4 linked regions of the Alligator mississippiensis genome follow. The protein of the gene in region 4 interacts with the protein of the main gene of each other region in a pairwise test. Links are inferred from orthologs where the notes say so. Each region holds a gene or a part of one and is shown on either strand. Other genes may lie near its edges.

Region 1 (6,918 bases), on a different chromosome or scaffold from region 4:
GCTGACCACTGACTTATGGCCTTTGATGGCAATACTGTGACAGGGAACCCTGGTGGCAATTCAGTGGTAGAGGGAGCAGCTGGAGGGCTCGGAGCACAGCTGATAGTTTGGGAGCACAGCACTGGCAAGTGGGGCAGCACCTCACTCGCAGAGAGCTGCACTAACTTGGACCATTAACCCTATAAGGTTGCTGACACCTGTCTTAGGGTTGTCTGCACTGAAGACAATACCAGAGCCAGCTACCTACCCTGGAAATCTTCAAAAGGAGACTGGACAGTCACCTTGCTGGGGTCACTTGTCCCCAGTTGTCATTTCCTGCTTAGTGCAGGGGAACTGGACCCAATGATCCCTTCCAGCCCCTAACAATCTATGAATCTAAGAATCCATCAAACTATAGCTGGGGCAGCCTGGAGCTCTGCACAGGCTAATTTTCTCACTGAGCAACAAAGTACATTAGCTGACATGGCAGCATGAAGCTCTGCCAGGCTACTGTACCTTGCTGTTTAACAGGAATATTAACCCACGCAGAGCTCCCTGTTGCCACAACCATACTACTTCCAATACACTAGCTAGCTCAAGAATCCCTATACCGCGCTGTCTATAGCACAGACATAGCTTTCACCCCTCAAGAAACCCAGTCATGGCCTTTTGAGAGTCTTCAAGTCACCTGGTTCCCCTTTATTTGTATGTTCAATGAATTCTCAGAGTAGTGCGGTTTTCCTTTCCAGAAGTCATGCTGCTAGACTCTCCTATAATTTCTTTCCAGGTGTTTTATTATTCTAATTTTTAAGCATTTCAACCCATTTGTTAGATGGTGTATGGCTTTCTTGTTCATTTCCAAAATCACCCTTGCAGCCTTCTATAGAAATACAGGGCTAACGTATGCTGCCTTTTCATTTGTTCTACAACTAGAAATTTTTAATGAGATTGGACATATACCTTTGGAATTCAGCTACTTCCAAGAGAAGCAAACAGATCCACATGTTTTACAAACAAATAGGCACACATTTAAAGGTTTTTGTAAAACAAGTATTTGTAAAACTTGTTTATAAATAAGAAAGATCATTACACTCCTTGCCCAAAGCCCACCATGAATTGGTGACTATAAATAAATATCAAGGGATTGATCTTTCCCTTGTCCCTGTACCCAATAGACAACACCACATCCAAAACTTTTAGCATCAAAAAAAGTACAATACAAACTGCACTGCAGTGCCACTGTAATATTACTGAAAGGGACGGGACATAACTGTTCCTTTTAGCAGAAAAGGACAGTCTAATAACCTAATCAGTAGTCACAGGGTGGGCTTTATCACCAAGAATAAAGAGCCGCATCAGTTACCAGCTGGACCAGCTCACAGTTGCATTTAAATGGAGTTGCTCACTTGGATTTTTCAAATCCAAATTCAGAGCTGTCTACAAAGGCTCAGCGTTCACGTAACTGTGTTGAAAAGTTATACACTGATTTTCAAAGCTTTTGCCAAAAGGAAAGGTACAAACAAAACCCTACCAGCAGCAGGTTAAATATGTCTGTCACCAGATGCCTGAATAAGTATGTATGTTGCCACACCTATTTGTTCTTCCCTAGCTGTACGTTACCTGAAGTACAAACTTCCCACTTCCAATTCTGCAGAGCCGATAAAGCAGCAGCACTTTTAGAATCACATGAAAAACGACGGGACGTGACACAAAAGGGGCCGCCCGGCCGATTTTCTGCACTTAACTACACACTCACAGCATCTCTCAACGGGGAGTTGAGATAGATCGAGTCAGATCTACCAGGGGTGCGGCTGAAATACCCTATGGAAGCCCTGTATCGAGGCGAGTTTAAAAATGTCTCAATAATCTTACATGACCTCTCCATCCGCACCCAAACAACGAATTCATGGAGCTGCACTGACTTAAAAAGAAAGACACATGCCTTGTTCTTCCAGCCAAATGTAAATGGAAGAAAAGTCAGAAGCTGCAAAAGATTATTGGAGAAATACGGCGGCCTGCTGGAGTGACACAAGAAGCCGATAAGGCCCTGTCTCAATTTCACATCCTGTGCTGGGCGTTTCAACACGGGTCTCCTAGAATACAAACCGCACAAGCGCAGAAAAACCAGCGGTATTGGGATTACGAGGACTTTTAAACACAGATCTGCAAAATACAGGCCTCGTAACAACTGCTACTGCACTGCTCGCACATTTTTAAAATCCTTCTCTTTTGAGTGATCGCTCTTGTTAGAAGACCATCTACGGAAATAGCTACGGCCTCAAGAGAAAAATGAAGATCCTCTTCGTTTCCTCGGTCAAGACGAGGGATTCCCCTTGAAGGACCTGCTTCGTTTTAAAATTTGGTGGGAACCACTTGAAACAAATCCTGGAGGCCAAAACTGCAACCCAGGCACAGCAGAAATTAGTACCCAAAAGTGAAACTCATTTGACTCTGTTTCACTTCTATCCGTTACTCTGCTTAAAAGCGAAGCGGGCGGCGCTGGGCAAGGCGGCGAATCTCTCCTGTGGGCATCGCCGGCCGACGCTGCGCCGGGGTTTCGGCGGCATCAGGACCCGGGCGCCGGCAGGGCCCAGCCAGGCCAGGAGTGGGGTGGGGGGACAAACCCTCAGGCGGCAAACCCCAGCTCGGGGCCCTCGGGTGGGCCGGCTCCAGGCGCAGCGGTGTCGGCCCAGGGCAGCGAGTGGGCCCGGGGCCGGGTCCGGGTCCGGGGGACGCGGCAGCGGGCGGGCCCAGCCGGCGGGTGTTGAGGCCCCGCACCGGCAAGACACGGACGCGGGCCCGGGCTGCGCTGCCCCGCCACAACCCCGCGGGCAGGGGCAGGAGTAGGAGTAGGGAGCGCGGCCTGAACCCCCGCCCCGCGCGGCGCCCCCCGCCCCGGTCCCGGCCGGCTGCCCGGCCCCGCTCACCCGAGCCCGTGGTGGCCGCCATCTTGCGCCGCTGCCGCTCCGAGCCCGCCCCTTCCGCCGCGTCACCGCCACGCGCGAACTGCGGCTTGATGGGACGAGACGGGAGGAGCCGCGGGCGGGCGGGCGCAGAAAGTCGCAGTCCGGAAGCTGGGCGGGGCTGGCCGGCAGGCCTCGGGAAGGGCGTTTTTGCGTTGCACGGAGCGTGGGAGGGGGAATAAGCCGTGCGGGCGGGCCGGAGAGCAGCGTCCTCGGGGTTGTCAGGTGCGCGATTATTGCAACCCTTGTGCGACGTGCGAGCAACAGGGAGCCTGCTTTTCTGATAGAAAGGATCCCCAATTTTCGGATTTAAAAACGAACCCAAAATCCAAATTTTTCCGTGATTAAAATGAAACACTACTTTTTAAAAAAAAAACTTTCCTTTGTATTTTTTTATTTTTTCATTTTCCTTTTTTTGACTTTGTCCTTTACTTTTTTACTCTTTTCCTTTTTTACTCCCTTTTTCATTTTTTACTTTCCTTTTTCTTTTTTACTTTTTCTTTTTAACTTTTTCCTTTTCTACTCTTTTTCCTTTTCCTTTTTTACTCGCTCTTTTTCTTTTTTTTCCTTTATATAAAATGAAACACCTAGATAGATAGATAGGCATTTCATTTTAGTCATGGAAAAATGTGGATTTTGGGTTATGTTTTTTAAATTTGAAAACTGGGTGTTTGTTTTTTAACCAGGATCCCTGATGACCACTAACAGTAGAAGTATTCAAAGTGTGGATAGTTTTTGGGGCTGCCAATCAATGCAGTGTATGCAAAACCTGAGTCACTCTCAGGGAGTCTTATCCAGCTCCTGGGTTTGCTGTCAGTGCTTTCTCATGACCGCTTGCTTCGAAATAAAGAAAGGCTTCAACTTGGGCCCAGTTCTCGCTCGGTGGTGACTTACAGTGAGCAATACAAGGTAAAGAAGACTCGTTTGCATAGTTTTTCAGTGTACAATAGTTTTCTAGCAAACGCTATAATTTTGAGCTTCCAATAGGATAATTTCATATTTAAGGACCTGGCCATGCTGGGCATCCTTCACGTTTGGCCAGTGGCTGTTGGCAGAGGACACCCAAGCAGCAGCAGCGACTCCTGCAGGCAGGGGCTGAACAGAGGCAGTGGCAAAGTGCTCCATGGGGGACGTGCTCCAGCTACAGGGGGGGCAAATCAACCTGAATGGGGGGTCAGAGCCGTGCTGCAGGAGCTGTTTCCATGCCATGATCATGGGACTGGGCCCATCACAGGACACTATAAGTCTCCCTTGAGAAGGAGGCCACTGGGAACACATCAACTAAGTTCTTGGGACAATAAAAACGAAAACAGGAACAGGAGCGAGGTCATTAATCACTAGGGCATTGGAAGTGGACACCGAACAGAGCACACCAGCCAGTGCCCACTCTCCCCCTGAAGGAGTCGAGGGAGCCTGTGGGTGCCAACCTGTGAAACTCCGTCTGAAGACATGGGCAGACTAGCTGCTGACAGGGAGCAAGATGGATGGACACAACGGTTTCAGTATTCACACTGGGCTCCGATGCTTCTTGCAGGAGCAGGGCTGCTATGAGTGCTCACAGATAAAGAGTTCTCTGCAGGATGGACAGACCTTTGCCCCCTGCCAGTACCTGTGGGAAACATGGGAGAGGAAGCACAGCGGTCCTGGAGGGCAGTAATTGCTGATCCATAGGAGAATGGAGAGGGAACAGCTAATAACATCACTAGTGAATGCACCATGTCTGTATAACAGCATGAAGCTCCTACTTAAGGTTGCAGTTTCCATTACAGACTCTGCTTCCTTATGCACTCCTGCAGTACTTGACCTTCTCCAGCTGATATTTCTCCATGCCCAGAAGATGGTTTTGGTAAAATGTGTTGTGCACACAAATGCACCCCAAGGGAGCTCTGCTCTGCTGTACAGAGATGCATCTCCCAGGAGGGACCCACACACACTGAAGGAAGCACACAGATCTAGTATGTCTGAAGGATTTGGAAAGGTAGTTAGTGGAGTTAATCTGAAGTCAGACAGAAGGCAGGATAGAGTTGCACTGTATAGATTGACTTAATCAGACATGTACAGTGTGAACTTTCATGGGCCCAAGGTCACTTCAGCAGCAAGGGCCAGATGTAAAAATGTACAGGCTGTAAGCCAGGAAGTCCTGTAAACTGGGTCTGAAGCCTTTCCCTGAACTGGTCTGGGCCTGTTACTGCTCTTTGGGCACATCTACACAAAATGTTAAATGCACAGTAGCCTAATAATACTGTGCAGTCGTGTGTCACAGCAAAAACAGTGTTAATATGCTGTACTACTAGACTGAGTACTATGCTCAGTACTATTAGACTACTGCACAGTAGGGTCATTAAAAATGCATGTGCCGGTGCTACTGCGCATTAAATTAGTACTTGGTTGTACATTAATGAACATGTAGACACCCCCTTTATGGTCCTTTGCCTTGCACTGTGGAGAACAGCTTGAAGGCTACTTCAACTTATACTTAGTTGCAAGAGTCCCAGCAACCTGAAACCAGCCAAGGGTCAGCAGGGGGTATGGGAGTCCTTGCTGCACTTGAGACTCATGCTGAGGCAGCACTTGTCACTTCTAGAGCAGCTGCTTTCAGCCTGTGGCAGTGGTTGGACAGGGCCTGAAGAACTGTTCTCCATCTTCTTACTTCCAGTATTAAGCATAAAAGTGCACTTGGGATCTCCTTCTCACCTCCCCCAACACCACAGCAGAGGACTTGGATGACCTCAGAGCCCTGCCTCTCCTCTTCACTCTTTAACGGCCTTCCTTATCCTGTGTAGAGCTGCTGGGTCCAACTTATCTTCCTGTCCCAGTATCTTGCTGGCAATGAAATGAGGAGGGAAGATGCCAGGAGAGACTAATAAGCCGGGCTGGGCTGGATAGGCCAGACTGAGGGGGGAACAAAGTCTTGAAAGATTCAAGGTGGGAAATGGAGCTGATGGGGACAGATGTTCCCCAGGAGGCTGAAAAGGTAAGTTGGGAGGGAAGGAGGCCTGAATGGAGCTTCTTTAAAGCTGCAAGCTTCCACCGACCACCACCCTGCATTGGCCTGGGCCCCAGCTTATCCCTTTTACTTGCAGTGTGACAGGATGACCATTTATTTCTTCAAATGCTTCAGTAGTCTAGCATTTCATTAGAAGCCCCTAAACATGGATACTGCACCTCTGGTACAAAGGTAGGAAGGACCTGAAATACTTTCCTTTGGTAAAAGTAAGAGTGCTGGTAAAAACCACACACTTAAGAACAGTGGTACAGATCAGCCAGATAAGCGATTGCCAAACAACAAGAATCATCTTCTCTAGGCAAGTTCAGCCATTTTTGCACCTTGACTACACACACTTTAGCACAAGGAAGCCTAATACAATGGAGGATGTTGCTTTTAGTTACCAGGAGATTTGAATGCAAAAAACTGTCTCTAACTTACAAGGAGACTTTTCCAGTCATCCAAGGTTAGATGGAAGTAAACCTTTCCTTTCTCCCCACATCCAAGAAAATGCATAGTGCAATCATCCCATCGCTAACACCACAATTGTAAGTAAGAGTCAGTAAAAAGTGTTAAGAACAGCCTATATAGCCCCTGGAACAATCTCTCCCCCTTACTCACATGACTGATCATCTGAATTATTTTAATATCCAATTCACTCTATTCTAGTCACAGATTCTATACATACTGGCATATGTGAATGTAAGAGTTAGTTGCATGAATCCAGGATTTTAATCAAAATCAGAATTGCCACAACTGAATTCCATTTAACATGTAGCCTGGATTCACTGTTCTGCATCATACTTTGAACTTTCCCCCCTCCCCAAAGTGCCATTACCACCTGTGAACATAGTAAATGTTAGGCAGTGGAGGACAGTGATATGCAAGCTAAAACACTACAGTATAAGCAAAAACTAAAACAGGCTTAAATTCTTAAATTGCTTCACCATGGTCTAATTTCTTAAAATAAGTTGTGTTGAGTCTATGTAT
Region 2 (7,767 bases), on a different chromosome or scaffold from region 4:
TGCCTCAGGTAACCAGAATTTTCAGATTACTGGCACCCCGCATTCCCCACTCATGCCAGAAAACAGGGCTTTTACTGTATTTTCAATTATATTGGAGACCCTATATAAGAAGTCAAGCTTTTGATCATCCCTTAATTAACTGTATATAGTTCACAGCTCAGGCTGCACTGCCACAGGCTGCACAGCATGAGCAGATGAGGCTTCAAATAACCAGCATCAGATTCCTGCCTCCAATTGGTATACCCTGTTAGTTCTAACAAACATTCTTCTAGACAAAGCCTTTATAAAAATCCTTGCACATGCTCTATTTTATCTTTTTAAAGAAAAAGGTAGAAGTCAGAACCATGCCATCATTTATTTTTATTGAAGGCATAAGATTCATCTGGTGAAAAATACTCTCTCCCCTCCTTTTTTGTACTTGGATAAAATTACTCAGTTTAATATCTCTAGTTATGCATTTAAAATTTAGGTGAACTGCTGTTGGTAACCTTATGTCTATCTTTGCTCTAAGCAAGCTACTAAAAATAACCTTTGCATTGAGTGTGGCCTGTACATTTAATTTTTCTATTAGCAGGTACCAATTTATTTTTCTGTTTAAATAAGTTAGCATCTCCTGAAAAGCATGTCATCATACTAGTTGACTGGCTGGACTAACAGTGAAGAGACTCAGCTGATGAGAGAAATTTAAGGAGGAGAACAGCTTTTCAAGACAAAATGACAAAAAAGCCAGTGTTCTGGGCAGAAACCAGCTCTTTCACACTTTCTCTCCTCGCATTTTTGTTACATAATTAAATACCTTATCTTCGCAGTGTATTATCTGATTATTTGCCATCAGAAGCTTTTAGGCTCTTATATTAGTATATCATGTACCAAAGGAAAGGTTAGTTACAAATGTGTTGGATACCAATAGCAGGACTATTTCGCCTAGATTCCCCACCTCTATCTCCAAGAGCACTGCAGCACCTCTTGGCCTCAATGTAATCAAATCTAGTTTGCATGATGGTTAACCACATGGTTAATTTTCAGTTTTAAGTTTTATGAAATCAGGAACTTGGATTTTATAATCAAGGTCAAGTCAAAGGTCCTCCCCAAGCCTTAATAGCCCAGTAGACTAGCATGGTTAAGATGCATCAACTTGTGCCTTGTTGGCTATGGAAGACAGATTCATACTACCCAACACAGCAGGCTGCTCCTGACAAAAGCTCATGTTTCTCTGAATAGTTAGGCCCTAAGGTGCCACCCCACCCAACCTTCTACAGCAAGGGTAGACACCCCCCCCACACATGCCAGAGCACGCGAAGGCATTCTGCTTGGCATTCACACCTTCGGGAAGGGGCTAGGGCTGCACTGCCACAACAAAAACTGGGCCCCTCAGGGCTCGTCTGCTGCCTGCTCCTGCTGTGCGGTTGAGGCTGTGGGTGTTTTTCACACTCTGCCCAAAAACAGTGCCGGCCCTTGTTCTACAGGCAGTGATGTGGCTACTTTCACATCTGGCCACCTTTGAATCCCCAGCCCAAATGATGCCACAATGATAAGCTCAGAGCATGTTACAAGCACATTCACAAGACACTCGGATTCTGAGGCCCTTCAACCATGCAGCAGAACTCCTCGTGCTTCTTTCCCTCTCCCTCTCATTCAGTACCAAGAGGCTGATTCCTGCCTCCAACTGGCCAATTAACATCTGCTTCCAATGCCTGCTTGTTAAACTATCAAGCGCCTTCCCACTTCCCTTGATACTGCCCCTCATAGTTAGGAAGCACTCCCCAATAAACATCTACAAAGCCACTTCATCATTCTCCTTCAAATCAATCTTTACAAGTCTTTCTTTACCATGACACCCAAGAAAGAAATTCAACTAAACTTAGGTTGCTGGTATGCCAAAACTACTGCCTACAAGACTGACTAATATCGTCTCACTGTCCCCTAATACTCCTGCATCTGAATCCCTCTTCTTTTTTCTTACGCGGTCATTTCTACGGAGCAGGGACCATCTCCTGGTACTGCGCTTGCACAGTGTCTGGTGCAGCAAAGAGTCCTCCACTGGCTCTAAAATACAAATGCTGTCATGGTACAAGAGGTTACCAAAATGCTTCAATATGAAGATGATGTCTTTAGCACGCCAGTCAGACACGGCACGCACAGAGCACAACCCTCGAATTACATCCCTGCCGTCCTGTGACTTCCCACACTCCCCAATCCTTGAAGGCTCGCTGTCCAAGGTTTCAAATAAAAATGAATGAAGAGCTGCCCATACATATACCCAAACATGTTTCAATCATCTGGAGGGAGGCAATGCACTGTGAATGCCAGCAGCGGCAACACGCCCTCACACGCAGCTCTCTGGGGAAGGGGGCACTCCTGCACCGCCTCACCCTCCCAGAGCAATTTGGTGCCTGAAAAACGACGAGGGCACAGGCTGAGGCCGGGATCTCTTCTGTGCGGACGGGGTGGCGAGGGGCTCAGCTCCCCTCCCTTCCCCTCCTCCAGGACAGCCGAGCCTCCTCCGGCCCCTCTCCTGTCGCGACTCGCCCTCCTCCAGCAGCTGCAGTGGCCGGGGGCCGCGGGGAGAGACCCAGAGCCACGAGGCGGCCGGCCCCGTGCACAGCCGCCCCCTCGCAGCGCAGGCAGCGGCCCCGGCAAAGGAGCCCGGGCGGGAAGCGGCGGCGGCTCGGGGGGACCCGCCCCGGCCCCGACCGCCGCTGGCGGCCGCGCACCTGGATGTAGTTGGTCTCGCAGTACTCGGCCACCCGCTCCAGGTTGGTGTAGCTGTCGAACAGGGCCCGGCGCCCCCCCGGGATCTCCTCCTCCAGCAGCATCTGCAGCTCCGCCATCTTCACATCCTCCTCCTCCTCCTCCTCGCCCGCGCGCAGCGCAGCTCAGCGCACCGCCGCCGCCGAGACCCGGCCGGCCGGCCGGGCGGGGAGGGAGGGAGGGCGGGCGCGGGGCGGAGGAACACCCACCGCCGCGGCTGGGGCGCAGCGCAGCCCAGCGGGAGCCGCCGCCGCCGGCACCACTGCGCAAGCGCCGGGCCCGGCCCCGCCCCGCCTCCCGCGCGTTTCCGGTGCAGCCCGCCTGCCCGGGGGTCACATCCGGCGGTACGCCGGGGAAACGCTTCCCTCTCGCTGCTGCCGGCGGGCGACGAAATCAGGGGAGGCGCCGGGAACGGGCGGGCGATTCCGCGGTGCGGCCGTTGCAGCCGGCTGGCAAGGCGCTCATCCTGAAGGCGAGGGACGGAGGGGGGCGCCCCCCGAGTAGTGCCCCAGTCGTGAACATGGGCGGGCAGTCTCCGCCCGCTGCCCCGCAGTGTGCAGGGCGGGGGGTCCCGAGTAGCTGCTCGCTGGCAGCCTGGAGCTGTTGGGGGGGGCGTAACGCGGCGGTTTCCCACGTTTTTCTCCTTTAAAGGAGAACCCGCAGTTAAAGTGCGTTGATCTTGTTCGTGGCCCTTTCATGGCCTCTTGCGACCCGCTTTTGCGTCAGACCCACGAAACCAGCTGCCTCAGAGCCCCAGAGCACGAGCGGACTCGAGCCGGAGCTCGCTTCAGCTCGTGCTCTGTGCGCGTTGCCACCGGCGACAGCAGCGATTTCCCAGCCGGGGTGAAGCGGCCAGGCAGAGACCCTGCCAGGGCACCCTGGGATGCCGCCAGATCCCTTGAAGGGCACTGGCACGCATGAGGGGATGAGCTCAGGAGATGAATTCAGGCTCAGGCTCCTGCCCCAGAGACCTCTCCACAGCACTGGCAGCCCCTCTGCAAGGGGTCTGCCCTACAGCAGAGAGATTTGGGTTTCAGTGGGTGCCACTTGATTCACTAAAGTTGTGGCGGGGGGCTCATGTCCAGTGGAGGGCAGGTCAGTTGAGAACCAGTGGCTTAAAACTTAAAGACTTTCTTTGCAGTTTCTACCCTCTCCCAGCACAAATTTCACACATTCCTGGGGCCCATGCACGCCTCAGACACTTGGTAGCACCGTATTGGGTAAGAAGAATAGGTGCACTGTTGCTTGCTGTCCCATCATTATGATCATTTGTTCTGCAGTGTTTTACTCAGACCTTGAATTTCTTTCAAGGAAAGCTTCATGTAGTTGGTTTGACGCAGTAAGTAAAGCTTGAGCTCCTCACGCATGGGGTATAAGATGCAAAATAGGCTGCATTTGCAAGGTAATTATAATTGGCATTTGAATATTACTGTCAGTCCAAATGTTAGTTGGCCCAAATATTACTATTTGATGACAGTATTAAAAAATAATTCATTTACATCTTATTTTAATACTTCATTGGGAAAAACTGGATCTCATTAAAGTCCTAGCAGACAGCAGCATTGGCCTGGGCCTGCTGCAAAAGAAAGAGCTGCAAGGGACTTCAAGAGGACACCTAGTCCAGACCCTGCTTAAGGCAGGATGGCCCCTGACTAAACCAGCTCAGTCAAGTGAATGAAGATTCCCCAGCTTCTCTAGGTAGCCTGCTCCAATGCTCAATCACCCTCATTGTCAGAAAAGTTCCTTCTAATCTCCAACCTAAATTTCCCCTGCTGAAGCTTGAGGCCATTGCTCCTCCACAGTACAGTGATTTTTCCTTTCGTCTCCCCTCTTTTATACACTCTGCTACTCAGCTGGTGAAAGTTGATGACTCTTGAACCCAGTTAATGTCCACAAAGGAAACAAATGCAAACACTGTATCTAGGACAACATACAATATGAAAAATTGTAAGAATTATACACTAATATTAAAATATAGTGAGTTATCAACAAATCCAGGAAAAGTACTAAACCAGTGATTCTCAATCCACGTGCCACGCCACTCTGGGCTACCATGAGATCTTTGTAAGGGTACAATGTTAGCATTGTGAATCACGTGTAGGTGTTTGCTCAACTACCAAATAAACCCAGAGATGTCAGATAGGAATCCACAACATCAAAAACATTCTGTCTGTTGTGGTCTGAGTTCCTTGCAACAGAGGCAATCCATTATTATTTTCCTGCAGTCAAAAAAAAAATGAGCGAAAGCTAAGAGCTAGCATTTTTCCAAGAGCTGCCATGGACCTAAGACGGTTGAGAATTACTGTACTAGACGTTATTATATGTTGCCAATTCCTGAGAGTTTCAGAGCTATAGGAAATTCTTTCTAAATGCTAACAGCAAGGTTTTTTTTCATCCTCAGTTCAGCAATGTACTAAAGAAGTACAGGGTAAGTGGAGCAACTCATATGCTAAACATTATGGCAAGCTTTTTAAGCATGTCTCTGTCGAGGCTTATTTTTTCCATCAAGTTTGTGTCTTAAGTTCCTTGAATAACTTGGAAAAAAAGTATTTGTTTGCCAGTAATTTTTACCATTATTTCCATTCCATGAACTTCGACTTTTTGGTCACTTTAAACTAATTTATTTAGCAGCAGTATGCCAGTGTCATGCTAGCAGCATGTTTCCAGAGAGAGGTCCAATCATGCTGCTACTGTTATCAATAGGAGCTTTGTCACTGACAACAATGTGCACCAGTGTCAGGTCCTTGTGCCTTTTAAGTAACTGCTGCTCACTTCTACTGATCAGCAAAGGAAGAACAAAATGTTTCTTTTGTAGGGACCCCACATAAAAGGCAGCCATTGTACAGGGGTTAAAGGAAGGGTAAATTCTCGGCCACAAATGAGTATGCTTTTCAAAATCAACAGAGACAAATGTATAATCCACCATGGTCAGAAAAGAAGGAAAATTTAGTAACTAAAGCACACTCGGGATCAAGAGAGATAAGTCTTATTTACTCTGACTTTGCCTCTGGCTTTTTGTGACCACTGGCAAGTCATTTAATATCTTTAACATTGAGATGATATCTACACACAAGAGTGTTTAAAGATTTAATTTGTGATTGTTCTCCTTTAATCAGCATATGAAGGTGGTGTTTTGAGTCTTCTGTGCAGAGCTCTTGCTCACCTGCCTAGATAGAAAATGTAATCAATTGTCTCAGTAAAAATATTTCAACTTTCCCAAAACAATTTTATTCAGATCTGGGTATCTACACAAGGGTAAATGATAAACTGGCACGTGCATCACCCTCATGAGCCTCACAAGGCTTCTTCTTCAAGTATAACATGGCTCCAGGCTGTATGACTTTCTATTTTTTCCACAGTCTTTATATTGCAAGGAATTGATTGAGGTAGTCATCTGCTGGAGAGCCCCCAACTCTGCAATACTTTTGTTGTTGCACTGCCTTTGTTGTTCTGGGACATGTTGTTGCCAGGGATTTGGAGCTAACATGGGGGCCTCCATCTGGGTTGGCCTGATCTTAAACTGATTTCCTAGGTTATTTTGGGATCTGAAAGAAATCACAGGATTTGCAAGCCAGAGCCACAACTTCTGGGAAAATCCTGTTCAGTCCCTTCCCCTAAGGGAATATTTGAAGGGGGGGGGGGGTAGAATCACTACACAAAATAATTCCTGGATATTTCTTCCATTCAGCCTCCATGGGCTTTCCCATGTGAGCAATGATTAGACCCCCATGTTTGTTAAAGTGTTTTAAAATGTGTACAAGGTGTTATGTGGGTTAAAATTTGCAACACAAATTAGTTAGCATGTTTTAATTTTTCTACAGACAGTTAAGATGAACAAGACTAATTTACATTTCATAGCTATGACCAGCATAATGCCATATAGATGTGTGAAGACAATGGAACAGCCAGTCATAAATATTCTACAACTACCAGGACTGAATATTTTAGTTATGTACATTCTCAGTATTGGCAATCCCAAAAGTTCAAAAATCATGAGTCATACCCACAAAACATGAGCTTTTTTTAAAAGATTAAGTCATGTTTTATATTCTGATTTCTGATTTTTGTTTAAGCCAGACACACTTCCACTGTGCATTTGACTATTACACAGGAACCCCACCCTCATAGATTTACAGAGTGATACTGGTCCCAACTTGAGGAGCTCTGACTATAAGACCCCACTGAAATCAAACCACAAAATTGTGTTTAAAGTGCTGTCTCTGAAGGTGTGGATTTTCCAGCTTCTAACAAACCCAGTTCCAGTTATCCCAGACCCATATTTGCCACTCCCTCAGGACCATATTAATTATGCTCCCTCTTAGTCCATAGCCTCAACCCCAGATGTTGCATCTCCTCCTCCTGCAGCTCCAGTAGTTATTCGCATACTCTGGGGGCTCTTTGGACATGCTCCAAGCCAAGATGGTGGTGAGGAGCTCCAAGGTTCTTCATTCATTCTTTTCTTTTAAATTAGTCATATTATTGGAGAAATTATTGCAGGTACAATATCTACATGATCCTTCTGCTAGATGAGCTTGTTGCCAAGACATTTAGGGGGATATTTCCACAGACCTTGTTACAGTTTCTAATTTGGACTAGCAGCAGCACATTTTGATGAGAGGGAGATTGTAGTCGCATCATCTTCCACCTAACCTTTAGGATGTTGTCATTATTGGCCTTTAGGTAAAATCTGTGCGTGTTCATTTGGTCTCTGTTCTCTGACTGATCTTGGCAGAGAGATCTCTGAGATCTCCCATCTGTGGATCCTACTCCCCATGATCTGCCAGATGATCTGTCTTATGATTTTTAGGGTATAATATAAGGCTCTTTCTTAAGTGTGCACATGTAGCCCCTATTGCTTTAGCATCTGGGCACTCACCAGCTCATAGTTAGTACCCTACTATCCAAACAAGGTAGATTTTTTTAGGGTTCCCTCTCTGAATGATTTGTGGATTTTAATTTAAATATGAGGAGCCCTCGTGGCATGGCAATGGTCACCCATGATCCCCTATATAAATA
Region 3 (7,558 bases), on a different chromosome or scaffold from region 4:
CTACACTAATCCCCTAGACCCCAGAGCAGGGAAGAACCCAGGTGTCCGGGCTCCCAGCCCCCACCTGCCCTAAGCAATCCCCCCCACCCCCCTCCCCTAGCTGGAGAGAACCCAGGTATCTTGGCTCCTAGCTCCCACCTACTCCAAGTCATCCCCCCAGCCTCCTTCCGCAGCTGGAGAGCACCCAGGCGTCTGGGCTCCCAGCCCCTGTTGCTCACCCCCCAGCCCCCAATCCCAGCCCATAGCTGGAGAGAACCCAGCTATCCAGTTCTCAGATCCCAGATCTCAGTTCCTGGGAGCAGAATTGGACAATGACCCAGGTGTCCAGGCTCCCAGCCCCTGCTCCAACTCCAAACACATCATAGACACATGGTGCTGGGAGGTGAGCGGGGCGTGCCATGTGCACAAGGCGTGTGTGCTTCAACACTGCCCCATCCCTTCCACACAGGACACGAGCTCGCACTCAAAAGGGCTTTATTAGCATCAAGAGGCCTCCCGTGGAGTGGGGAGGCCCAGATACCTGGGTTCTCCTACTGGGAGAGCGGGGGCAGAGCTGCAGCGAAGGGGGCTCCAAAGAGCTGGTGGGACAGAGGAGAGGCCAACATAGGGGGGCAGACTTGGGGGGCAGAAGGGGCCGCTGGGAGTGGAATTCACACAGGCTCCATCTGCAGCTCTTCGCCCTCGGCCGGCTCGGTCTCGTAGAAGGCGGCGTGAGAGCCAATGACCACCAGGGTCGCGCCTGCGGGGTCAGGGATAGGCACGGGAGACAGGAGGATGGGGGGGGGGGGGGGGCCGTAAGTACCCCACCCCACCTGCCCAGCTGGTGCCCCTCACTCTCCACCCGCATCCCCCTGGCCGCTCTCTACAGCCCTGCCGGTGTCCCCCACTCCCAACCCACAGCCCTTGCCCATCCCAGCCCTGCTGTTGCCTCTCACTCCCAATCCAAAGTCCCCCACCCCGCTACAGTCCTGCCGGTACCCCTCACTGCCAACCCGCAGCCCAGTGCCTGCCCTGCAAGCTGGAGGGGGGAGGTTCCCTCACTCACCCAGAACCCAGAAGACAGCCGATCCAGCCCCCGCCACCCAGAAGAGGGGGAAGGAGACACCTCCGGCCACTGCATACTGCTGCCCGGCGCTCAGCTCACGGCCTGGGAGGGGGGTTGAAATGGGAGGGTCAGAGGTACCCAGCACCACCCTAACCCCAGACCAGCCCCACTACCAGAGGCAGCCCACCATGCCCAAGGATTGGGCCCGGGCCCTATGGAAAAGACCCAATCCCCACCCTCCCCAGGTAGCTCAATGCCCCCTCTCCCCTGCAGCCAGAGGAACAAGCCCCTGCCCTATGCTCCCCTCCCCTCCCCCTGCTGCCTTCCCAGGATCAGGCCTGGATCGGGCCCCCTCACCCAGGACCACGAGTGGCCCCTGCTGGGCTCGGACGTGCAGGACGTAGCAGGCGCCGAGGAAGACAGCGAGAGCCACCACCAGCAGCGGGGACGTGATGCTGGGGGGGGACACAAGGGTAAGTGGGGGGGGGGGGAGCAGAGCTCCCAGGTGACCTCGATCCACTCCCCTGATCACCTGCCATGCCAGCGCTCATAAGACATCCTGGCTTCCTCAGCTCCCACCCCTGGGGGCAGGTTCAGGGCCCAGGTCACCAGAATCCCACTCCACCCGCCAGGATCTGGGCTTGTCCCCCCAGAATTGCGGGGGCCGGAGGGGGCAGATCAGCTTCCACTGCCCCCATCAGGACCCCAACCCCCAGCATCGGAGCCCCGCCCCATGCATCCGGCCCTGGCCCCGCCCCCTGCAGGATGGGTCTCTTAACCCACCAGGCTCAGACCCTGCCCCCCAATAGAAGCGGGCCCCCTCCCCGCCCCGCGGAGCCCCGGCCCCGCCCACTCACAGGCAGTAGAGCGCCAGGGCGGCGGCCACGCACGCGTAGTTGCCGTGGAAACGCTGCGCGTTACGGGTGACGCGCCGGCCCAGCTCCGCCGCGTCCCGCGGTTTGGCGAAGCGGCGCGGGTCCAGGAGCCGCGGCCACGGCCGGACACCCCCGCACCGGCCCAGCCAGCCCCGCGCCCGCGCCAGCCCCGCGCCCAGCGCCGCGCCCGGCCCGGGGGGCGGCGGGGACCTGCGGGGGACGGGGGTGAGACCCTGCGGGGGACCCGCCCCCCTCTCCCGGGGGCCCGCACCCCCCCCCGAATCCCCGCACCCCCCCTCCCGGGGGCCCGCACCCCCCCGCGTCCCCGCATCCCCCCGCTCCACACACCGCCACTGGAGCCCCGCCCCCCCCCGGGGTCCCGCATCTTCCCCCCCTTTCAGCCCCGGGCCCCGCACCCCGCCACCACCTCCGCCCCCACCCCCCCGAGCCCCGGGGTCCCCGCACCTGGCCCCGGGCGCGGGCGGGTCGCTGTCGCTGTCGCTGCCCGGGTGGAAGAGCTGCTCCGGGCTGGCGGGGCCCTTCCCGGCCATGGCGGCGGGGCCCGAGCCGGGCCTGGGCGGGAGAGCGGGGGGCTGGGAGCTCCGGGGCGGGGCTGAGCCCCTTTACAAGCCCCTGGGGCCCGATCCGGGCGGGGGGGGGCGCAGGTCCCGCGGGGACTCGGCCCCTTTTAGAGCTTCCGGGACCCGACGCGGCCCGGTGCGTGCGCAGTGCCGGGGGCAGGGGCGGACACGGCCCGTAGGGGGGTCGCCGATAGGGCCCTGCTCCGGGGTGGTTCCGGGGGGCAGGGCCCGATCCGGAGTGCCCAAGGGGGCCCGATCCGTGCCCGTGCAGGGCGGGGCCGGCCCCGATCCCGGTGTGTCCCCCCCCGCCCCCCAGCAGGGATGCGCGGTCCCTGCATCCCGGGTCGCCATGGTAACGGGTCCCCGCCGCCCGCCCGCCCGCCCGCCCCTCACCTGCGTCCCGAGCCGGAGCGCGGCTGTCGGCGTGGCAACGGGTAACCGACGCTGCGGGGGGGGCGGGGCGCGGGGTATGCCGGGAGCCAGAGGCGAGGGGCGCGAAGCATGCTGGGAAATAGAGTCCGGCTCCTCCAGCGCCCCCCTTCCTGGAACGTGGGGATGGGACATGCCCCTCCCACACACACCCCTTCTGAGCCTGGGGCGGGGCTCCTTTAACAGATTGATTTGCATATATGCAAACAGATGCCACTTTGAAACGGGGAGAAATAAGGCTCCGTCCACAGCGCGGCTCCAATCAGCTCTTTATTGAGGTGTCAGCGGGGAGCTGGGGTAGGGTCGTTTGCGTGAGCTCATTTGCATGCATGCAAATCTGTGCAAATGACCGTCCCCCGTCACTGCCGGGCGTCTTGCTCCCGGGAAAGCTGGCACAGGCCGCAGGGCAGGCAGCAAACCATCACCAGCCAATCGTCGCACACAGAGCCCTGGGGGGGCAGAGGGAAGCTGGTGCCCCTCACGCCAGACCTGCAGCCCCCCCCCCTTCACCCCCACTGCCCCCCACTCCCGACCTGCAGCCCCCCTACATCCCCGCTGCCCCTCCCGCCCAACCTGCAGCCCCCCTACACCCCCGCTGCCCCCCACTCCTGACCTGCAGCCCCCCTACACCCCCGCTGCCCCCCACTCCTGACCTGCAGCCCCCCTACACCCCCGCTGCCCCCCACTCCCGACCTGCAGCCCCCCTACACCCCCGCTGCCCCCCACTCCTGACCTGCAGCCCCCCTACACCCCCGCTGCCCCCCACTCCTGACCTGCAGCCCCCCTACACCCCCGCTGCCCCCCACTCCTGACCTGCAGCCCCCCACTACACCCCCGGTGCCCCTCACTCCCAACTCACAGCCCTCTGTTTGGTGCCCCTCACTCCTGACCTGCAACCCTTCACCCTTGTCTGGTGCCCCTCATTCCCAACCTGCAGCCCCTTCCACTCCCTCTGGTGCCCCTCAATCCCCTCCCCACAGTGTCCTTCACTCCTGACCCGCACCCCCACCAATTCCCCCCGGTGCCCCTCACTCCCAACCCGCAGCCCCCCTGTCCCACACCCACCTCGATGCGGTAGCGCTCACGGATGCCGGTCCGCAGGGCCACCAGGGCCCCGGGCAAGCAGGGCAGCAGGCAGGTCTGGCCGAAGCGCTCCGAGACCCGGGAGGCCAAGATGCAGGGCACCAGCGCACCACACAGACCTGGGAGTGGGGCACACCTCTGGGAACCCTGCCTTGGATATCCAACCCAGAGACACCCCCCTCCAGAGGTGCCCCTAGGGGACCCCATTCCCCTAGGGCACCTGAGACCCCCCCCAAACCCCCAGAGCCACCCCCCTACTCACAGGTGCCCACGTCAGAGCAGCAGTCGCAGAGCTCGGAGCTCCAGGCCCCCCCCGGCAGCGCCCCCACGCTGAAAACTGCCCCAGGGCCCAGCGGCCCCGGCTGTGAGTCTACAATGATCTCCGTCTGGTAGGACATGGTGGTCTGGGGGGGGAGGGGAGGTTAAAGCAGAGACCCCTAACCCCCCCCAGCCAGGTATCTGTGGGGCAGGGAGCTGAGGGTCGGGAGTGAAGGGCACCAGCAGGGCTGGGTGGGCAGGGGGCTGCGGCTTGGGAGTGGAGAGCCAGGGGACTGTGGGTCGGGAGTGAGGGGCACCAGCAGGGCTGGGGGGGAAAGGGGCCTGTGGGTCAGGAGTGAGGGTCACTGGCAGGGTTGGAGGGCAGGGGGCCGCGGGTTGGGCATGAGGGGCATCGGCACTCCCCAACACCACCTGTGTCCTTGGCTCCTGCGCTGGTCCTGGTCCAGTCCCTTGTGCCTGGATGCAGGGGGGTGGGGGCTCGCAGACTCTATCAGCCCTGGGGCGTGGGAGCGGGCAGGGGAGGGGTGGTGAGAGCAGGGGGGGCTGGGAGTCTGGATGCCTGAGTTCTCTCCCTGGGCCCTGTGTGTGTTTGGGGTGGGGGCGGGCGGGGCAGGGCGAGGCCCCACGAGGGTCAATATTTGAGTGGGTGGCTCCGCTCCCCGCCCCGGCTGGACTTTGCCCAGGGAACGTGCCGGGGTGGGGGGCTGCTGGTCAGGAGTGAGGAGCACTTGCAGGAGTGGGGGGCAGCAGGTCAGGAGTGAGGGGCACTGGGGCTGCACCGTCAAAGGAAGCCCATCATCCAGGATGCCTGGGTTCTCTGGGAGGGCAGTAGGGTCTGGGGGTGAGAGCAGGGGGCTGGGAGCCCGGGCACCTGTGTTCCTTCCCCATTCGGGGAGGGGTGGTGTCGCAGTCAGGGCTGGCCTCCCTGGGCGCCACCTCGGCCGCCTGGGTTCTCTCCAGCTCTGGGAGAGGCTTGGGCGCCTAGGGGTTTCCACCTGCCTGTTGTCTGTCTAACTCTATCCGTCTGTCCATCCATTCAGCTGTCTATTCATCCGTCTGCCTGCCCACCCCTCTTCCTTCCCATGCCCCATAATGCCAGGATCCCCCCTGCTGAGATGCCTGGTTCTGTGGGAGAAGTGCAAGCCTGGGGAGGCGATTGGAGCAGTGCAAGGCCTGGGTCCAGGGGACTGTAGGTCAGGAGTGGGGGGGGAGTCAGGTTGGGGGGGCAGGGGGCTGTGGGTTGGGAGTGAGGTACTGGGTGCGTGCGTGTGTGGGGGGGACGGGGGGGCCTGGGTTCCCATGCTGCCTGGGGGGAGGAGGCCAGGATGCCCTGGTTCTCTCCCAGCTCCAGGTAGACCAGCACTGGGGGCAGCTGGCTCTGGGGTGGGGGGCTGTGGGGCACGGCTGGGTAGAACTGGGCTCTGGGGTCTCCAGCAGAGGGCAGCAGGGCCCCACTCGCCCTCTAATTGCACAGTTAGTTAAGTCCATAATGGATTTCAGGCCATTAAAGAACAACAGGCCCCTGGCAGCGCTTCCTACCCCTCTTTCAGGAATAGGACTTGGGCACCGGGGCTCCCTGCCTCCGCTCCCCAGACTCCCCTCCTTTCCCTCCCAGAGCTGGAGAGAGAAGGCAGGAGTCGGAGCCCCCAGCCCTGCTCTCACCCCCCAGGCGCTGCACCTCCCAGCCCTGGAGAGAGCCCAGCACCCTCCTCCACTTGAGTGTCTGGGCCTTTAAGATGGTGGCCACACCTCTTTGTGGGTCTGCCCAGGTGGGGGGCTAGATGAGATGGGGGTCCAGCTTGTCAGTGGGTCCCTGGTGGCCCTGGGGCTGAGAGGTGCTCCTGTCATTTGGGGGTGGACCCCAAATTTCCCATCAGGGTTCCTGATTGGTTCTGGATTTAGCCCCTCCCCCGCAGCCCCTGCCCACTTCCTGTGTTCAGTACCCTAGGCCCTAGTGAGACCCTCGCCTGGGTTCCCCCAGCTCTGGAGGGGAGTGGGGTAGGGTGCCAGCCGCACGGGTAAGGAAGCCAGGCTGGGGGCCACACGGTATGTCCGGCGTGGCTTTGACCTGTGGCCTCAGGCTTCCTAGGCTAGCTCTTAGGGAGCACAATTGGTCAGCGAATGAATTAACGAGCTGCTGGGATGCAAACGAGCCCCTTGGGGAAACCCCAGCCCTCAGAATCTGAGCTAGCTCAGGCTGTCCACGCCTCATTAGGACTGGCTGCCTTAGGGCAGCTGGGCTGGCTTGGGCTGGGCCCCATGCCTCCTTAGGTCTGGCTTTGTTAAGGGCCTCAAGGGCCCCAGGCCTCTTAAGGGTTGGCTTCGGTGCCAGTGGGTATCCAGCTGGGCTGTTAGCCCCTCCTTTAGGCTGCCTCTGCCTTGATCAAGAGGCCTCCAGTCCCAGCTCAGGGAGGTCTGAGCCTCTTAATTAAGTAATGAATACTAGGTGTTCCTGGATTTCTACTCTGCTTGGGACCTGCCCTGGCAGGAGAGGGGATCAGATCTGCTGGCAGGGGGGACTTGGACCCTCGGATTGTCTCCAGCCCTGGGAGGGGAGAGGAGGGGAGTGGGGTCTCAGGGGGTGAGAGCAGGGTGGGGCTGGGAGCCCGTGGGGGAGCTCTGGGAGGGCCATGGGGTTTGGGCTGGGGCGGGGAGGCCTGCCAGAAACGACGCACTGGGGCCAGGAGAGCTGGCGCCAGGTGCGGCAGGAATTGATCCCGGGGGATTAGGTTTGGTGAGAGCTGCGTGCCCCACCCAGCCCCAAAGTATAAAACCCCCTGGGCACCGGTGCCCACGTACAGCACCATGCACATCCTACTCATCCTCGGCCTCCTGGCTACGCTGCTGACTCCAGGTATTGCTGGTCCTTCTGGCCCCTGTATCCCCCCATAGCTCCGGGGGTCTGAACTTGGCAGGAGGTCTGGCCTCCTGGGGTATCCAGCGATGTTATTTGGGAGGCGAGGGGGGCTGGACTGGATGGGGAAAGGCTGATGTGGGCAGGAGGGGTGTGGGGTGGGCTTTGGGGACCCAGTAACTCCCAGGACCTCCCAGTTTCCCCCTCCCTCATGTCCTGCTCCCACCAGTCCCTTGTTTCCCTCACTCAGAGCTGGAGAAAAAACCCAGGAGTCTGGGATCCCAGCTCCCTACTGCTGCAACCCACCAGACCCCACATCCTCCACAGTGAACCCCACTCCTGTCCCAGAAAACCCAGGCTTCCCGCTCCCCCCCCACTCAGAACCCCATCCCCCTCTCCTCTCCCAGAAAAC
Region 4 (7,248 bases):
TCCAAGGTGCTCTGATCCTGCCCAAAAAGAAAAAGTAAAAAGTGATTTATTTTCTCTCCACCAGCAGCTCTATGTACATGCAATATATTTCTGATTTATTAGCCAGCTCTGGCAAAAAAAAAAAGGAAGAAATCCAGTTGGTCCTTCCACATGCTAAAGGGGCAGATTAATCTCAGCTGGTCTCACACTGGGCGAATTCCAATGCTAACTTGCCTTTTCCAATACAATGAATAATCTACTTGCAAAATATAATGTATAAGCAAACCTGAAATAAGTGCAAGGGCAACAATAGATACTGATGACTGAATTCTGTCCTCAGAGTGCCTTCAAGTTTATATAATGTAAGAAAATCCTGGGCAAGTACACCAAGCATTAAGATTTCATAGACTTTAGGGGCTGGAAGGGACCTGTGAGATCATCAGATATTGCACGTTAAAAGTTTGGCGATGAGGAGCACATCCTGGCTGCCTTAGGATACTAGCATGTCTACCCTAGAGATCTAGATTCGTGTGTGGCATCAGACATGGGTAAAGTGAATAGGATTGTTTTATCTTTCTAGATAACTATGATCAGCTGCAAGTTTCATATGCATTGAAGAAAGATAAATTCCAGTGTAAGTGATGTGACAGAAGCTGGTTTATAGAGTTTTAGCCCATTTGAAAGTATGCTGTTCAGATTTAATCTAATGCATTTCGTTCATCTCTTCATTCCTGCTTCTGTACCCCAAGACACTGGGAAAACCACTTTCACTACACCAGTGAAAGCGTTAATAACTGGTCCAATAAAAATATGTGAATGTGAGTGTTCAGTATTCATTCTCAGACTTGGTTTTAAAATGTAGCTCATTTAATTTAATTTAACAATCTGGTAGCATCCATCCCATTTTGGTTCAGTCTAATGCCATTGCTTATCCAGGTTTCCTGTATCTTCACATCACTCCCTACTGTGAAAGGATTCTAGCAGCTCTCACTAAAGCAGCCCCATTCAAAAGGGTTCACATCATTAAGCTATTATTCAGTAGACTCCGTTTCCATATCTTTGCTGTTGCTTTGCTTTGCCATTAAAAGAGGTTGAGGGGTTGGGGTGAGGGGAGTTAGAAATCTCCGAGGGTTGTTTTTTTGGGGTTCTTCAGATGAAGAACAGTGCTGCAAGACCTGTACAGAACTGTGAACTCTCAGCTGTTCTCTGAGTCGGGGTTGCTTGCTCTCAGCATTTTTTACCTCCCTGCTGAGCCTGCTTCAGTCTTGGGAGCATTTTAGACAGAAAGGTTTGGTACATTTCAGGAGACCGCTTGCTCAACTGAAAGATGACATTTATAGTAGAGAGAAGCACTTTGTGCTCACGGAGGGTGAAGCATACATTCATTTATCTGCTTTCAACCAACCAGAGTTTGCTGTTCTGTGCAGCCCTCGTTCCCAGGGACTGAATCGATCCTGTAGTGGAGTTGCGCTGAACTACCAACTGAGATCTGCTCCTTAGCTCCTTGGATTAGCAGCACTGCGGACTTAACACAGCCCCTGGGAAGTGACAGGTGTCCAGCACTGAAACAGGAGAGTTGCCTTTATCTTTAGCATGTGTAGGAGGCTGTGGGACCAAAAGAGAGAATGCTGAAAAGTAGGCCAAAAACACTCCCTCAAGGGGTGAACAATGGCACTGAAAAATGCTAAAAGCAAGAAACCCAGAGTGTAAAACAAAACCCACTATCTAGGTTAGTGATTTCAAATCAGGGTGTCTTGAGATCGTCCCAAGGGTACTGCAAGGTGCTATGCAATATTAGCCCTATTAGGTATGCAAACACGATTCACCAGACAAACCCAGCTACTTCAAATAGAAATCCATCCTATTAAAAACACCGATCCTTGTGGTAGTCTTTCTGAGTTCTCTGCAAGAGGAAAAATGCTGTATTATTTTGTGTGCGCGTGCAGGTGTGCATGCATGCAATAGGAAAAATGTATTATTGTGCATGTGTGCACATGCGTGCGTGCAACAGGAAAAATGTATAATTGTGCATGTGTGCACATGTGTGCGTGCAATAGGAAAAATGTAAAATTTGTGTGTGTGTGCATGCATGCAATATAGGAAAAATGCTGTATTATTGTGTGTGCATGCGCACGTGTGTGTGCACGCATGCAGTAGGAAAAATGCTGTATTATTGTGTGTGCATGCATGCAATAGGAAAAAGGCGGTGTGATTGTGTGGGTGTGTGGGTAATCAAACGAGCAAAAATGAAAAGCTGGCTTTTTCTGGGGACTGCTTTCAGTCTAAGCAGGGCTGGGTCTAAGGAGGTTGAGACCCACTGATCTAGGTCTGTAGGAAAACATGCCAACAGCTTTTGCTTAGGAGGGATAAAAAAGGATGCTTGACATGCCACACAGGGCTACTGACCGCCTTGAAAGGGGGCATGCTTTTGTTAGGGATAAGCAGCTTTTCCTTTTAAAGCGGGTCAGATTTCCAACAGGCAGAAGGAAACAGCGGCCTTTCAATAACAGATAGAGAGAGAGAGAGAGAGAGAGAGAGAGAGAGAGAGATGGAGAGAGAGAGAGATGGAGAAAAAGCAAAAGATAGAGAAAGAGAGATGGAGAGAAAGAGATAGAGATGGGGAAAAAGAAAGAGAAAGAGAGGCAGAAAGAGGCAGGGGAGCTCCTGGGTTTCAGGAAGGCCTGCGGGTCTCCCAGCCTTGCCCTTACTCACAGGAGCCCCAGGTTTCTCGGAGGCTTCAGGCCCCCCGGGCTGGTGCCGCCCGCCCGCCCGCCCGGCCGGGACGCGCTGTGTCCCCGCGGGCCGCGGGCGGGCGGGCGCAGCGCTGCAGGGCGGACAGCCGGCGCCGCCCGGGCGCTGCTCCTCCCTGCCCCGAGGTGGGTGCATCCGCGGCCCCTCCCCGGCCCGGCCCGGCCTGGCCCGGCCCTGCCGCCTACCTGCCCGCTCCTCCGGCCGCCGCCGCCGCTCCCAGGCTGCCCGGCGAGCACCGCCCGCCCGTCCGCCCGCAGCAGGCTGGGAGCTGTAGTCCGGCCCGGGGATGCTGCAGGCCCCTCCCTAAGGCCGCCTGTCTGCTCGCAGCCCGGCTTTGTCTTAAACGTGCCCGGGGAAGCTGCTCCGATGCTCCTCACCCTGGTTTTCCTGGTACCCAGCCTCCACCCTTGCTGCAGCTCGAGAGCATGGCTGGGTGGAGAGCAGCCCGGCTCCATCCTCTGCGGTCTCCCGAGGCGGTCGTGGCTGTGACCTTACTCGCAGGAGCCAAGGGTTTCGCCGAGGTTTCGAGCTGTCTGGAGGGCGTTGAAGCTGCCATTCAGTCCCCCTCTGCAGACTACATCAGCCCAGCCCCCTTGGCTCATCTGTCACATCCGCCCAGCCCCCCTGAACCAGTTTTGGTTGCCCTTCGCAGGGCTCTTCCCTAATTTGTGCGTGTCCTTTTCATAGCAGTGGCCCAAAACTGGACACAGCACTCCAGATGTGGCCTCGCCAGTGCTGAATCGAGGGGAAGAATCAACCCGCTGGCAACGCTGGTGCTCGTGCAGCCCAGTGGGCCGTTAGCCTTCTCGGCAACTAGGCCTTGGCTTTGGATTAATATCATGCATACTTCGTACTATATACTTACCCGGCAGGGGAAATACCAGGACCCCTATGGGGGTTTTCCTAGTCGCTTTTGTGGCACACGGTAGTATCCGCAGAAGTAATGTGTAGGTAACCTCCCACTTTCATTTCCAGTGGGAAGATCTTGGTGTTACACCCACTTTATGGAAGTCGGAGTCTCCTCCCTAGCTTGCTTCTGCAGCCGTATGGCTGAGGGCAAGCAAAACTCGGAGTCATCCAAACCCCAAGCCTCTGGGCTTGGGCCTGCATGTAGGATGCCCACCAAAGGATTTAGAAGCATCTGAAGCCCCAGGGGGTGGAGGATGTTTGCCGGTAGCAGGGCCACATTCGGTTCTTGAATGACTCATGGATTTGGCTTGGAACACAACAAATTTTCCTTAAAAAACCCCCCAAACTGGGGCACGCTGTTGGTTCATATGCAGCTTATTGTCCACTGTAACCCCCAGGTCCTTTTTTGCAGAGATGTGCATAAAGGGTGGTTTAGGCAGCATCATGAGGCTGGGGCTTAGGAAGAGCCAGGTCTTGCCTGCATTTGCGAGTAGGCCTGCTTCCCTTCTTGGAGGCCAGCAACCCATTTAGTTGCTCTAATACCAACCCCCATTGTAGAGAAGAGGAAGCAGGGGTTTGCATCCCAGCCTGCCCTTCTTTGCTTGTAGGATTTGACATGGATAGGACCTGATCATGAGACAAGCTGTTCTTGGTATATTGGATACTGTTCCCTATAGTTGTACGTGAGCAACTGAGGTGGTGACCTCAGGGGGATTCCTCACCTACCGACAAAAAAGGAGGCGCCCTCCAGTTACGTTCCTATATTTCTAAGATGCATCACACCTTCCATCCAAGGATCTCAGACTGCTTTATAGATGCAATGTATTTCACTTATATAATATTGGGAAGTGTATAATTAGCTTACTTTTATATTGCCCACGCATTGTATCATCTAGTATTGCTGCATTTTAATTTACCATGTTGGTTAAGTGCATACACTGCTTAAGTGCATAGCATATTTCAGCTCTGCTATCTACTTTATAACTTCATTGTACTTGGATAATTGCATGTTGACTGTAATGGTAGTTCTTTACCTAGTAACTAATTGGCCTTGATTTAACTGCCAGAAACAGGGAACGGGAAGCTGCTGTCAAAGAGATGCCATTAGAGCTTCGGAAATGAGCAGGACTAATCTGTTTCGTGGCTGCTATCTCCCTTTATTTTCAAAGCATCTAATAGAACAGGGGTGGCCAACCTGCACCATAGGTGCCACGTGTGGGACAGGCAGCATCTGTGTGTGTGCCCTGTGGCAGACTGGGGAGGGGACAGGTAGCACAGCAGCAGATAGGGCTGGGAGCAGAAAGCAGAGCATCAGATCAGGCAGGGAGCACAGAGCAGGGAGCAAAAAGCAGAGCAACAGGTTGGTCAGGGAGCATAGAGCAAAAAGCAGAAGAACAGATCAGGTAGGGGAAAGGGATCAGAGTGGGACTTGGGAGGATGCAGAGCTAATTTGTGGCTTGCCTGCCAAAAACAAGGCTGACTCCCCCTGTAACAGAAGCCTCGAAATATGAGGAGAAAAACCTTGGAAATTCGGGAAGCTGGTCAATTTCTGAACTGTTGGCACTGTAGCCCTGACAGCACAGGGTACGTATGTACTTACTAAGCTTTGCTTACAGTGTTATTGGTGCCACGGTTTTAGCAACCCCAAAACCAACTAGCCCCCCTCCATTTGTAAGGCCTCTAATAGCAGACTTGACTTGAAAATTATAGGGGCTTGTCAGTCTGGCGGCTGCCAAATACCATGGCACTGATAAATCTTTAAGCAATGCATGTTAAGTATACAGTGCTGCCATTGCTGTGATACTAGAAGACCCCAAACTGACTGGCTCCCCTTATATTCAGAGTTTCTAATAATGAATATTTGGGCTGCTGTCAAAAACCCTGCAAATAAAGAAAGCTGATCAGAAGCCCATGACCTTAGCACACTGGGTTCTCAAACTATTTTAGACTCAAGGCCCACCCCCACCCCCAAAATGCCAGCTCTTAGCTTTTGCTTATCTGTTTTTACTACAGAAACAAATAGAGTAGGTCTCCTGCTGCAAAGAACTCAGAAGGACCACAACAGGTCAGACATGTTTTTGACACTATGGGTTTCTATTTGAAACATCTAGGTTTATGTTGTGAATCGTATAGGTGTTTGCACGCCAAACAGTACTAATATTGTGCGGTATCCTTAAAAGGATGGCATAATCCTGGTTCAGAATTATTGTTCTAGCAAATATTCAAGTCCCTCTATTCCAGTAACATATATTTTTGTTCTTGAATTAATGGAGAATCATAAAATCATAGAAAATTAGGGTTTGAAGAGACTTCAGGAGGTCACATCTAATCCAACCCTCTGCTCAAAGCAGGACCAGCCCCAACTAGATCATCCCAGCCAAATCTTTGTCTGCCTAGGTATTTAAAACTGTCAAAGATGGAGTTTCCACCATGTCTCTGGGTAACCTGTTCCAGTGTTTTACTACCCTCCTAGTGAGAAAGTTCTTCCTAATATCTTACCTAAACTTCCCTTGTTGCATCTTGAGACCATTGTTCCTTGTTCTATTATGTGCCACCACTGAAAACAGTCCATCTCCATCCTCTTTGGAACCTGGTTCAGGTAGTTGAAGGTTGCTACCCCACCCCGTCTTCTCTGCTCCAAACTAAATAAGTCCAGTTCCCTCAGCCTCTCCTCATCTCCTTTATAAGTTAGTAATTCAGGACCTTTGAGGCTCAGTGGAGAGGTTCTAATGGTATCTAGTAACATATAAGCAATATATCTGCTATATTACATTAACAGGGTCCCCATTTTACAGATGGGGAACTGAGGCATACCATGATTTTTGTGGCTTGAGTATGACTGTGCAGTCACTCTATAGAAGAGATGGATATAGGAGCCAGATTTTCTGACTCTTAACCATTTGATTATTAATGGAGACATACAGACTGGCTCTCTTCTTTGTGAGTATGCAGCCACAAGGATCTAAAAACCTACCTCTGATCATGGATTGTGCTCAGATTTGTGCTCCGAAGCCAAAGACTGAACCAGAATCTGCGGCACCATCCTCTGATTGGGGGAGTTATCATAAAATAATGGAGCTCAGCAGTGTAGCCAGTCAGTGCACTTCTCTAGGGAGCAGAGAAAAGCCCTGAGTTGAGTCACAAGGGGAAATGAAATCCATTGCGTCCTTACTAGCTTCCATCTCCATTCCCTGATGACAGTAAAATGCTGCGGACATCTACTGAATAGAGTACCAGCACCCTCGGGGATGCGCGTTCCCCAGAGAGATGGCATTGTCTTTGGTCATGTCTGTCTGGTATGTTTGGTCCCACATCAGTCATTAACATGACCTCCTCCTCCTGCCCCACCCCCCATTTCTGCCTAATTAGTGGTAGCCAGAAGTCCTTGTCTGAGGTGGTGTTGAAGGTCTGAACGAGACTTGGCAAGATCTTTGTGAATTTACAGTGATGCAAGCGGGCAAAATTTGATGGCAATGAACTGTGAGCATGCTAAGGAAAATCTATTGTACACGTATGCATGCGTGTTGGGGAGGAATGGGTGAAATATTGACCTTCCAGGATAAAGAGAGTGGTCCTTGAGCTGCACACCCATGAGATGAGCCCTTGAAG

The links.
Region 1: the proteins of TRIM32 (region 4) and UBE2V1 interact in binary tests that used the Homo sapiens proteins (3 or more experiments, as listed by UniProt). The link is inferred for Alligator mississippiensis from reciprocal best matches to the Homo sapiens genes TRIM32 and UBE2V1.
Region 2: the proteins of TRIM32 (region 4) and ABI2 interact in binary tests that used the Homo sapiens proteins (3 or more experiments, as listed by UniProt). The link is inferred for Alligator mississippiensis from reciprocal best matches to the Homo sapiens genes TRIM32 and ABI2.
Region 3: the proteins of TRIM32 (region 4) and RABAC1 interact in binary tests that used the Homo sapiens proteins (3 or more experiments, as listed by UniProt). The two-hybrid records come from large-scale screens. The link is inferred for Alligator mississippiensis from reciprocal best matches to the Homo sapiens genes TRIM32 and RABAC1.

What each region holds. Positions count from the first base shown.
Region 1 is NC_081832.1:13,255,359-13,262,276, reverse strand, and holds the start of UBE2V1 (ubiquitin-conjugating enzyme E2 variant 1), read right to left. Parts: upstream 3,011-6,918; 5' UTR 2,929-3,010; coding exon 2,907-2,928; intron 1-2,906. UniProt on the Homo sapiens protein: Has no ubiquitin ligase activity on its own. The UBE2V1-UBE2N heterodimer catalyzes the synthesis of non-canonical poly-ubiquitin chains that are linked through Lys-63.
Region 2 is NC_081827.1:172,083,180-172,090,946, reverse strand, and holds the start of ABI2 (abl interactor 2), read right to left. Parts: upstream 3,001-7,767; 5' UTR 2,832-3,000; coding exon 2,715-2,831; intron 1-2,714. UniProt on the Homo sapiens protein: Regulator of actin cytoskeleton dynamics underlying cell motility and adhesion. Functions as a component of the WAVE complex, which activates actin nucleating machinery Arp2/3 to drive lamellipodia formation.
Region 3 is NC_081838.1:29,452,199-29,459,756, reverse strand, and holds RABAC1 (prenylated Rab acceptor protein 1), read right to left. Parts: upstream 3,020-7,558; 5' UTR 3,005-3,019; coding exon 2,895-3,004; intron 2,494-2,894; coding exon 2,386-2,493; intron 2,131-2,385; coding exon 1,903-2,130; intron 1,501-1,902; coding exon 1,403-1,500; intron 1,148-1,402; coding exon 1,046-1,147; intron 740-1,045; coding exon 651-739; 3' UTR 458-650; downstream 1-457. Other genes in the region: cornifelin homolog, read right to left, coding at 3,290-3,379, 3,996-4,132, 4,276-4,417. UniProt on the Homo sapiens protein: General Rab protein regulator required for vesicle formation from the Golgi complex. May control vesicle docking and fusion by mediating the action of Rab GTPases to the SNARE complexes.
Region 4 is NC_081835.1:54,504,835-54,512,082, reverse strand, and holds the start of TRIM32 (E3 ubiquitin-protein ligase TRIM32), read right to left. Parts: upstream 3,016-7,248; 5' UTR 2,916-3,015; intron 2,786-2,915; exon of another isoform or gene 2,692-2,785; intron 1,585-2,691; exon of another isoform or gene 1,385-1,584; intron 18-1,384; 5' UTR 1-17. UniProt on the Homo sapiens protein: E3 ubiquitin ligase that plays a role in various biological processes including neural stem cell differentiation, innate immunity, inflammatory resonse and autophagy.